2 linked regions of the Sus scrofa genome follow. The protein of the gene in region 2 interacts with the protein of the main gene of each other region in a pairwise test. Links are inferred from orthologs where the notes say so. Each region holds a gene or a part of one and is shown on either strand. Other genes may lie near its edges.

Evidence for each region.
Region 1: the proteins of LZTS2 (region 2) and TRIM29 interact in binary tests that used the Homo sapiens proteins (3 or more experiments, as listed by UniProt). The two-hybrid records come from large-scale screens. The link is inferred for Sus scrofa from reciprocal best matches to the Homo sapiens genes LZTS2 and TRIM29.

Annotation. Positions count from the first base shown.
Region 1 is NC_010451.4:47,281,257-47,285,634, forward strand, and holds the start of TRIM29 (tripartite motif-containing protein 29), read right to left. Parts: upstream 2,849-4,378; 5' UTR 2,650-2,848; coding exon 1,849-2,649; intron 1-1,848.
Region 2 is NC_010456.5:112,076,782-112,081,010, forward strand, and holds the start of LZTS2 (leucine zipper putative tumor suppressor 2), read left to right. Parts: upstream 1-1,429; 5' UTR 1,430-1,869; intron 1,870-3,046; exon of another isoform or gene 3,047-4,189; intron 4,190-4,229. UniProt on the Homo sapiens protein: Negative regulator of katanin-mediated microtubule severing and release from the centrosome. Required for central spindle formation and the completion of cytokinesis.

The sequences.
Region 1 (4,378 bases), on a different chromosome or scaffold from region 2:
AAGCCCTCAAGACACAGCTTGTCTTTGAGTCCTGCCCAGAACTAGAACATGAACTCCACATTCCAGGTACCACCAGAGAAAGCTGCCAAAGACTACCCTCTAGAGCATTCAGGCTTTTCTTAATTGGAGATACCCTTGATTCAGATAAAATTGGAGTCCAAACCCCATGTATACAACGGATGAACAAGAGCACGTACTGTTTGCTGTGAGGTGGGAACCTGCCGACCCTGTCTTTTTGGCATCACTTTGCCCCCATTCTCATCCCTGACACCTTAAAGACATTCCCAAGAATCCTAAGCTAATGACAGTCCCAAGAATCCTAAGCTCCATGGAGCTCCCCAAGGGCTCTATGGGGTAATTTGAAAACCTCTAGGAGTTCCCTGGTGGCTCAGCATGTTAAGGATCCCCCATGGCCAAAAAGAGAAAGGAAGAAAGAAAATCTCCAATGGAGTCCAATCCCCTAGTTTCACGTGAAGGGAAACTGAGCCTGAAGGAAGGGAAGGGACCTGGCTACCACTGCACAGATGATCAGAGGCAAAACCAGGACTGGAATCCAGGTCTCCCAAAACCCAGCCCAGTCAGGGCTGTGCAACTTCTTGGTTGTGGTGAATGAAGATGATTGGTCCTTGTTCTATTTTGATTTTCTAAGTAAGGCCCCCATCTCCATCTTCCCGTATGAAGCGTGAAGCCAGGCAGGGGAAACTGGGGTCACCTTGCTCCTGGGCCAAATGAGGCTTCGGAAAAGGATCTTTGAGTTTTCTCTCATCTCTGACAGCTCCTTCCTGCCCAGGAGTGTGGGTGGGAGACAGTCACCCACAAACTTTTGGTCAGGAAGGCTGGGCACAGAGGGGGTGCCTGCAGGGTGCAGAAAGTCGATTCCCCTGCATTGACCGCTGGGAAGGTTCACCCCAACAAAAGGCTGCCCATGCCAGGGAGCTATGTGGCTGCCGGGGAGTGGGGGCAAAGGGCCCCAGTCTGCAGGGCCAGGGGCAGCAGCCACAGCTGAGCCTGTAGCCGGCGCACCCGCTCCAGGTATACCACACTCACAAGCCTCTACACGCCTCCGCTCCTCACCACAGAACTACTGGCAGAATCACGAACACAGGATGCATGCAAGCACACTGACGTGCTACATACACAATCTTATGCAAACATCCACATACGCATATACACACCCACGTGCATATAAAACACACAGACCCCTCCCCCCCACTCCAACCCTCACCAAGAGCGTCCATCCACAGGCAGAGGCACGCCCACCACATACAACCACACACACAAAGCACACAGGGCCTGGCTGAGGGGGGATAAAGGAGGCCAGCAGGGGGGTCAAGGGACAGGATGGAGGATCAGACGGAACAAGAAGAAGCTGCTGTCCTGCAAAGGCCAACTCTGAAGACAGAAAATAGGACATTGAAGCCATCCCCAAATTCCCTCCTCCTCACCCATAACCCACTCCTCAGAAGAAGAAGAAGAAGAGAAGGAAGAGGAAGAGGAAGAAGAAGAAGAAAAAGATACATCCAGCCAGGCCCACCCAGCCCAGGACTGAGTGCCAATCCTTGACCTGACTTGAATTTATCCTGTGACCTTAGCCGAGTCCCCTATCTTTGCTGAGCCCCTATGTGCTCATCTAGAATACACCAGTCTCCTGGGGCCTTAGAGGACTGGGGAGCCCTCCCTGACTCCCAGCCTGGCGGAGTAGAGGGGACAGAAGTGTTTTCTGAAAGACCCAGGGACAGCAGAGAGATGAGCCCCAGACTCCAGCACCCCCAGTGGGAAAATGAGGTGGGAGGACTCAGCGAGCGAGGAGAGGCCCCGAGGGTGGTGGGGGAGGGGCCCGGCTCTTACCTCCTTCTCAGCCTTGGCCTCTTCCACAGTCACAGTGCTGTGATTCTTGTGCTCCTGGAACATGCAGAGGTAGCAGATGCAGGTCTGGTCCGTCTGGCAGAAGAGCTCCATGGTCTTGCCGTGCAGGGGGCACTTGCGGGCCTCGAAGTCCCGGATGGGCTCGAGCAGCTGGTGGTCGCGGAAGGCGGCGCCCTCCAGGTGGGGCTTGAGGTGCAGCTCGCAGAAGGAGGCCTGGCACACCAGGCAGGACTTGACGGCCTTCTGCTTGTTGCCGATGCACGAGTCGCACAGGACCTCCTCGGAGCCCGACTTGGAGCGCAGGAGGATGCCCGAGTCGGCCCGAGGGTAGCTGTTCCGCCGGACCTCCCCGGGCTCCATGATGGACACGGTGGGCTTGCGGGGCTCCGAGAAGATGGACCTGCGCGGCTCCCCCTTCTCGGCGAAGGTGACAGGCGGTTTCTTGGCCCCCAGCTGGAGCCCGGCGTAGGGGGACCTCTTGCTGTCCGCAGAGTCCATGCTGAAGTAGCTGGAGGTCTTGTCATCCACGGACTCGACAAACTGGATGATGGGCCGCCGCCACTCGTTCCCGGAGAACAGGGAGCTCTTTCCCTCGCCCGGCTTCAGGGCGCCGCCCAGGCTCTTGCTCTCGGCCGCCTCCCCCGCGTGCCCGTTGGTGGTCTTGGCCTCTTTGCCTTCGGCCTTGGTCACGTTCTCCAGGCTGCCGTTAGGGCCCAGCGGGCTGCGGGCATCCCTGGCTTCCGGGCTGGCCCCGTTGCTCCTGGCGGCGTCTGCGGCTTCCATCGCGGGTCACCTGGCTGGTCTGGGTCGGGCTCCCTGGAGGTGTGGGTGGGTGACCTCTCCGGCGGGCGTCTCGGCGGGGAGTGGGACAGGCAGCCGCAGAGCCCGAGACACACCTTCAGGGAGCGGGGAGGAGGAGGAGCGGAGAGGAGGGGCCGCTGGGGCTGACACAACGGGGCCGGGAGAGGCGGCCGTGGCTCCCGGAGCCAGCAGAGCGGCTAATTATACAGGGGGGCCACACCCTGCACATTCATACCTAACCTGATTTTTTTTAAAGGGTTTTTTTCTCCCCCAGTTTAATTGTTTTCCACGGCTCGGCAACCAGTTGGGCTGCTTCCTTCTGACGCACTTTCTTCTCATCAGGAAAGTGGGAGCCTCTGTCCTCACCCGTGGGCAGGCTTCGCTGAGCCCAGCGGCCCCTGGGGCAGAGGTGAGGTGTCCGCAGAGGCCGACGGGACAGAGGGTTATTAACTGGGTCACACAAACCAAATAGCCTTGTAATCAGCGGGCCTGGGTTTCAGAGGAAGATTGCCCTGCCCTGAGAGAGCGGAGTGGCTTCTCACCCTAAAGGGAGTGATGGGTTCAGTTTGATTTGGATTTTAGGGTTTGGAGCGAAGTGGCTACTCGTCACTGAACTCCTCCTGCCAACTGCCAGGCCCTGTGTTAGGTGCATGACCTAATGATCTCTGGTAATCCTTACAACAACTATTTCAATTGTCCCCACTTAATAGATGAGAACACGGGAGCTCTAAGGAAATAACTCGCTGGCCTAAGTCAAGAGGTGGAGCTGATATTTGAGCCCAGGTTCCCTTTTTCAGCGCAGGTGTCAACAGAGCCACCTGAATATCTCAATGGAAGATGGCTTTGAAAGGCCATGCCTGTCCCAGAAGCCTTAACAAGACGCATACAGATTTTCTGTTAATGCGATCAGAGCAGGTCAGAACCTGCTTGGATACAAAGGCCAGAGAAACAGTAGTGAGGGGCAGGAATGCAAGCAGTGCCAGCCAGGTGGCTGTGTCCTCGGGGCCCAAACACTTCATTCTCATCTGCCTCCACGGTCAACTTGCTATGTGACTCAGAACAATACCTGTCCACCCTCTCTCTTCCAGGCCATAGGCAACACCCTCTCTCAGATACTCTCAGAAGTGACAGAATATGACTATCATACAATCCCAGACCTCAGGGAAAAAAAGAGAGAAAAACTAAAGACTCTAGACTCTTCCTCTCTCTGACCACCTCCAGGAACACTGGGGACCCTCCACTCCTGCCAGGATAGGCCACCTGGTCCCTTCTGGGCTGCGACCCACTGCCATGGTCCTGGGAATCCAACACCCCCAGCACACACACACTGGGTAAGGGTCTGTGCCTCTCCCAGGCTGGGCTGGATGTGGCAGAGCAGGAGGTGGGTGTGGCTGGGGGTAGGGGGCAGGCAGAGAGACATGTTCTGGGCTGCATGTCTGGGAGTGGGTTTCCCTTCCTTCCCCTGGAATCCAGGTCAAGTTCCGAGAGCCCCCGCCCCTTTGGCTCACCTGGCTGAAGAGCTAGTCCTTTGCAATAACGCAGGAACAAGAACAGAGACAAGCTTGGATCACAAAGCAGCCAGAATTTTAAGAGGAGGTGTGGGGCAGTGTTGGGGGCGGAGAATGCTACTTCATGGTGGGGATTCCCTCTCACCTGGTGCCTCTGTTCTCAGGCCCCACAGGAGCCCACTCTCCTTTGAACTCCCTGGTAA
Region 2 (4,229 bases):
TCATTTCCTCTGATATCCCGAAGTGCCCGTTTCCTTTTAGATTTGCCTGCAGAAGTGGTGAGAATGCAAGCTGTTTTAAAGGGGCTGGGGAGAAACCTTTTGTAGAGGGGGTTGGGGGAGGTTTCCTGCTCCCTGGAAGCAGGGCTGCCTTATCAAGGTCTCCCTGTAACCTGAGAGGAGGCTCTGGACCCCTGTGGGATGGATGGTCTGGGGTCTCTGGTCTGTGGTGTGTGAGAACTGTGACTGCAGTTGTCTTCTGAAACAGACCCTGGAGCAAAGCCATTCCCTGGGGGGGAGGGGGGAGATCCTCCAGGGCCTCCCTTCTTGGGGGTCTCTCCCAGACTGGCTGGAGCCAGCTCTCCTAATCCCACAGTAATCATTCCCAGCCGCTGGCTGGTCTAGGCCTCATCCAGGGGCTACAACACTGAACATCAGCCATGCCTTCCAGATGCACCCCACCAGATCAATGCTACCTAGAAAGGTGTTGGTCTGGTCTCCCTAGAATGCCTGGTGTGTTCTCAGGAAATACTTTAGGAGTTTCCATTAGGGAACTTTTGCGAGGTGTCTGTGTGAACTGGCTATAGAGGAATAGATACACACTTGCCCGGCTTGCCCCACCCTCCTAGCAGACACCACCACACTGCACAAACCAGCTCGGGGGAGGGGAAGCTAATTCTCCCCCAGCCCCACCCCGTACACAAGCACATTCCATTCCACACCTGTCTTAAGCTCCTAGCATCAGAATTAGCCAGAAGTATGTTCCGGAGTAACTGCAGCCTAGAAAGTGGCAGGTAATCCCTAGTTCCTGGGTAAGGTCCCTGGGACTCCCTGTCCCTGTACTCAGCCAAAGTGGATTGAGGCAAATCACCTGGGCTAGAACCAGCATTCCATGTGCCCAGTTGGACATTTAGAACCTTCCTGAGAGCTGAGGAAGAGCCTGACAGAACAGGGTCCCTGGATCTGCAGCGCTGTCTGCTGTCTTCAGACTCATTGTCACACTTAGCTGTGTGGGGGCAGCTTTGGTTCTCCATCTTGCATTTGAGAAGGGACTAAACTCACAAGACTCCGGCTACCCAGGGCTCAGGCTGCAAATACAGCCCAGATACCTGTAGACAGCACAGTCTGCCCTCACAAAGGCCACTTTGGGTGCCATGGAGGGAGGGAGCCCTTGGTTCCTCCCTGCAGTACAGGTCAACTTCCTGTTTGTGCCTGTGGGTGGAACTTTTACGAGTCTAGGAGAAGCGTGGCCATACTCTGTGGGGGCCCAAACCGGCAGGCCGGCTCACCTGGGCCGACACCTACTCGGGGAGGGGGAGGTGCTGGTCCTCAAGGGCAGCCCCAACGCCGAGGTGTGTGTGTGTGAGGAAGGCGGGGTCTGTTTTGGTGAAACCCGAGCCTTCTTTGTCTGCTTCCCAGGGGTTTTCCCCATCTGGGGACTGGGCTGAGCATGGACCAGGATGGGCTCCCTAAAGCGCTGAGGAAGGTGGCTGTAAAGCCCTACAGCCGACTTGGTTAGGACAGCCAGCCAGCTTAGCTGTCACGTGCCACTGGCCCCTTCCCCGAGCTGAAAGACAAATGCTGTAAGGTGTGAAGTCAGAGGCCAGAGGAGCAGTCCTGGGCCACCATCGAGCCACATCTGGGCTGGGCACTGGGTCGGTTGTTGAGGGGGTGCTGCGCAGACCACTCCCCTGTCGGGGTCGGGGGCGCGGCCTCAGCCGCCCCGCCCCGCTCCTCCAGGCCCGGCCGGACGGGCGCTGGGAGTCCGCAGCCCGGAGCGGGCTTGGGAGCCGGCCGATCTGCGGCGAGGAGGTGCTGGCGCTGGAGCAGGAGCCGGGAGGGGAGCTGGAGCGGCGGCGCAGGTGGCCCTAGGTGAGTGCGTGGTGGGGCCGCGGAGGTGTCGGAACTCTAGCTCCTGCACAGCCCCGCGCCGGAGCGAACTTTACCGGTCTTGGAAGGTTGGGGGTTGGAGTGAGGAGGGGAGTCCCCAGTGCAGGAGGCACAAGCGAAGAGTGTGAACAGGGAACCTACACGGAACCTCACACTCACGGGTCCAAACACGCGTACACACAGACCCACGCGCGCACCTGAGACAGACGAACACACGTGCACCCTAAAGAGGACGCGCCCAGTGAGCTGTGCCTGCCGTCCCTGGAACAACGCCACTGGCCCGCGGGACCCCCAGCGGGCAAGGCGCGCTGCTGCCGCGTACTTGACAGGGGTGGGAGGAAAGACCCAGGGACCGCCGACGGGGGCGGGCCGGGTGGGACAACTCCAGAGGTTCCTGCTTTCCGGCAGCCCGCAGGTGAAGACTAAGACGTAAACAGGAGCCGAGCACGTGATCGTAGCGCAGACCTGTGGGCTGTGCTCCCCCCACCCGGGCCTCAGGGCGGGAACCGCCCGCCCCGGTGCAGGACGGGCTTGCAAGGTACCTGGCCGGGCTGTAGTCCATTCTCCACCTCCCCCGGAAGGAGAACACAACGCCCCCTGGAGTCGGGTTAGCGAAGGAGAACAGGAGGCTGTTGGTCTGGCCTGGGGTTACCTGGGCTCTTCGCCCTTCCTTCTCCCCAACATGGTGCCCCATCCCTGAAGATATTGGGGGCGTGGGGGCGATATTCTGGATGGCAGCGTATAGCAGCCAAGGGAGCAGCTACGGCAGCGCCTGTGGGTGCCCTTCCTACTACCACCCCTCCCTGCAGAGCTAGGAGCTCCTCCTTGCAATGTAGGAACAGAAAGCCCACGCATGCAAGAGTGGGAGTCCCCCTTCCCCAGAGAATGCAGGAGCGTGCACATCTCAACACCAGAGAGGGCCTGTCTCCCTCCCGTAGAAGGGAAGACAGCCCCCTCCCCCCAGGGCATGAAAGTGGGCATCGGCCCTCGGCCTCCTTCCTCACCCCACCCCCCACCCCTACACGCACGCTGAGCCCAGCTGCTGCCTGAGCTTCTGGGCTGGCTGCCAGAAAGGGGAGGCGGCTCCTAGTGCCCCAGGAGGCTGGGATCAGGGCAAGGCCAGAAGAGGGGGGGGGGGTCTCTACCGGAGTGGGACTCAGTCTGTTCTTGTGAGCAGAGGGTCTAGGGTGAGCCTGCGGGTGGCTGAGCTGTTTCCCTTTCCAGGGAAAAAGAAAGAAAAACAATCCTTTCCATAGAGCTAAAAATAGAGCTGAGAGCCTGCCAGGGCTGTGGCCTGGAAGGGGGGGAGATGCTCCTTCCTGGGGTAGAGGAGCTGTGGCAGGCCTTGGCCCTGGATGGGGCGGAGTTAGGGGCCTGGAGGCTGTCCTTGTACAGCCGTGTGGGCATCAGCTGACCTGACTGGGTCACAGAGACCCTACGGGAAAGTCTGTGTGATAAAATGTTTGTGAAATACGTTGTGTACATGTAAGAAGACGTTTTTTGACTGTGAATAAGACTGTCAGTGTGTGAAAAATGCTTAGGAGACTAAGTGTATTTAAGATTGTGACTGGGTGCGAAGGACTTCGAGCTGTGAAAGCCTGTGTACAACTAGGCATGTGAAACGAATGTCTCTGTGTGTTGGCCTGAAAGATTATGGGAAGAAGAGACATGGAACCTCGTGATGAAAAAGACTGTATGATTGTGGCTGTGTGAGACTGTGGGAAAGGTCGTGTGGGTGTTAAGACTGTTTTGTTTGCCGAGCTGAGAATATCCGTGACCCTGAGAAGACAGTGGGATGTTGTGTGCTACGCGGCTGTGTAGGTTTGGCCTGTAGGCTTGGATGGGCTCACCTCAGTGACTGTTGGGCCCAGGGGCTGCTTCTCTCGGATCAGTGGCCTCTCTCTTAGGAAATGACTCTGAGGGAAGGCTGGGGAGCACTGAGCCGCGCTGGGGAAAGGCCTAGGCTTTCTAGGGTAAGGTCCCCCAAGGTTGGCGGTGACCGAGTGTGTTCTCCGAATGGGCCGCCAGGTGGCGCCACCTCCACAAATCCAAGCGTGCCTCCTCCAACCGGCTGCGGGTGGGGCAGACACCCACCAAGCCTTGGCCCCCGACTTGTGCTGGGGCGCAGGGCCCCGAATCGGGGGCAACTGACCCTCCGCCGCCCCCTCTGGACTCCGAAGCTGGAGAGTGTGTCTGGGGGAAGAGGCATCGACGAGACAAGAGAAGGGGGAAGGGCGGCCGCCTCGGCGCCTGGCCCTTTGTGCTCGAACAATGACCAGCTGCCGCTGGCCCCGGGGCCCGGGTAGGGGTAGAGGGTGACCTGCCGCCGCCGCCGCCTAATC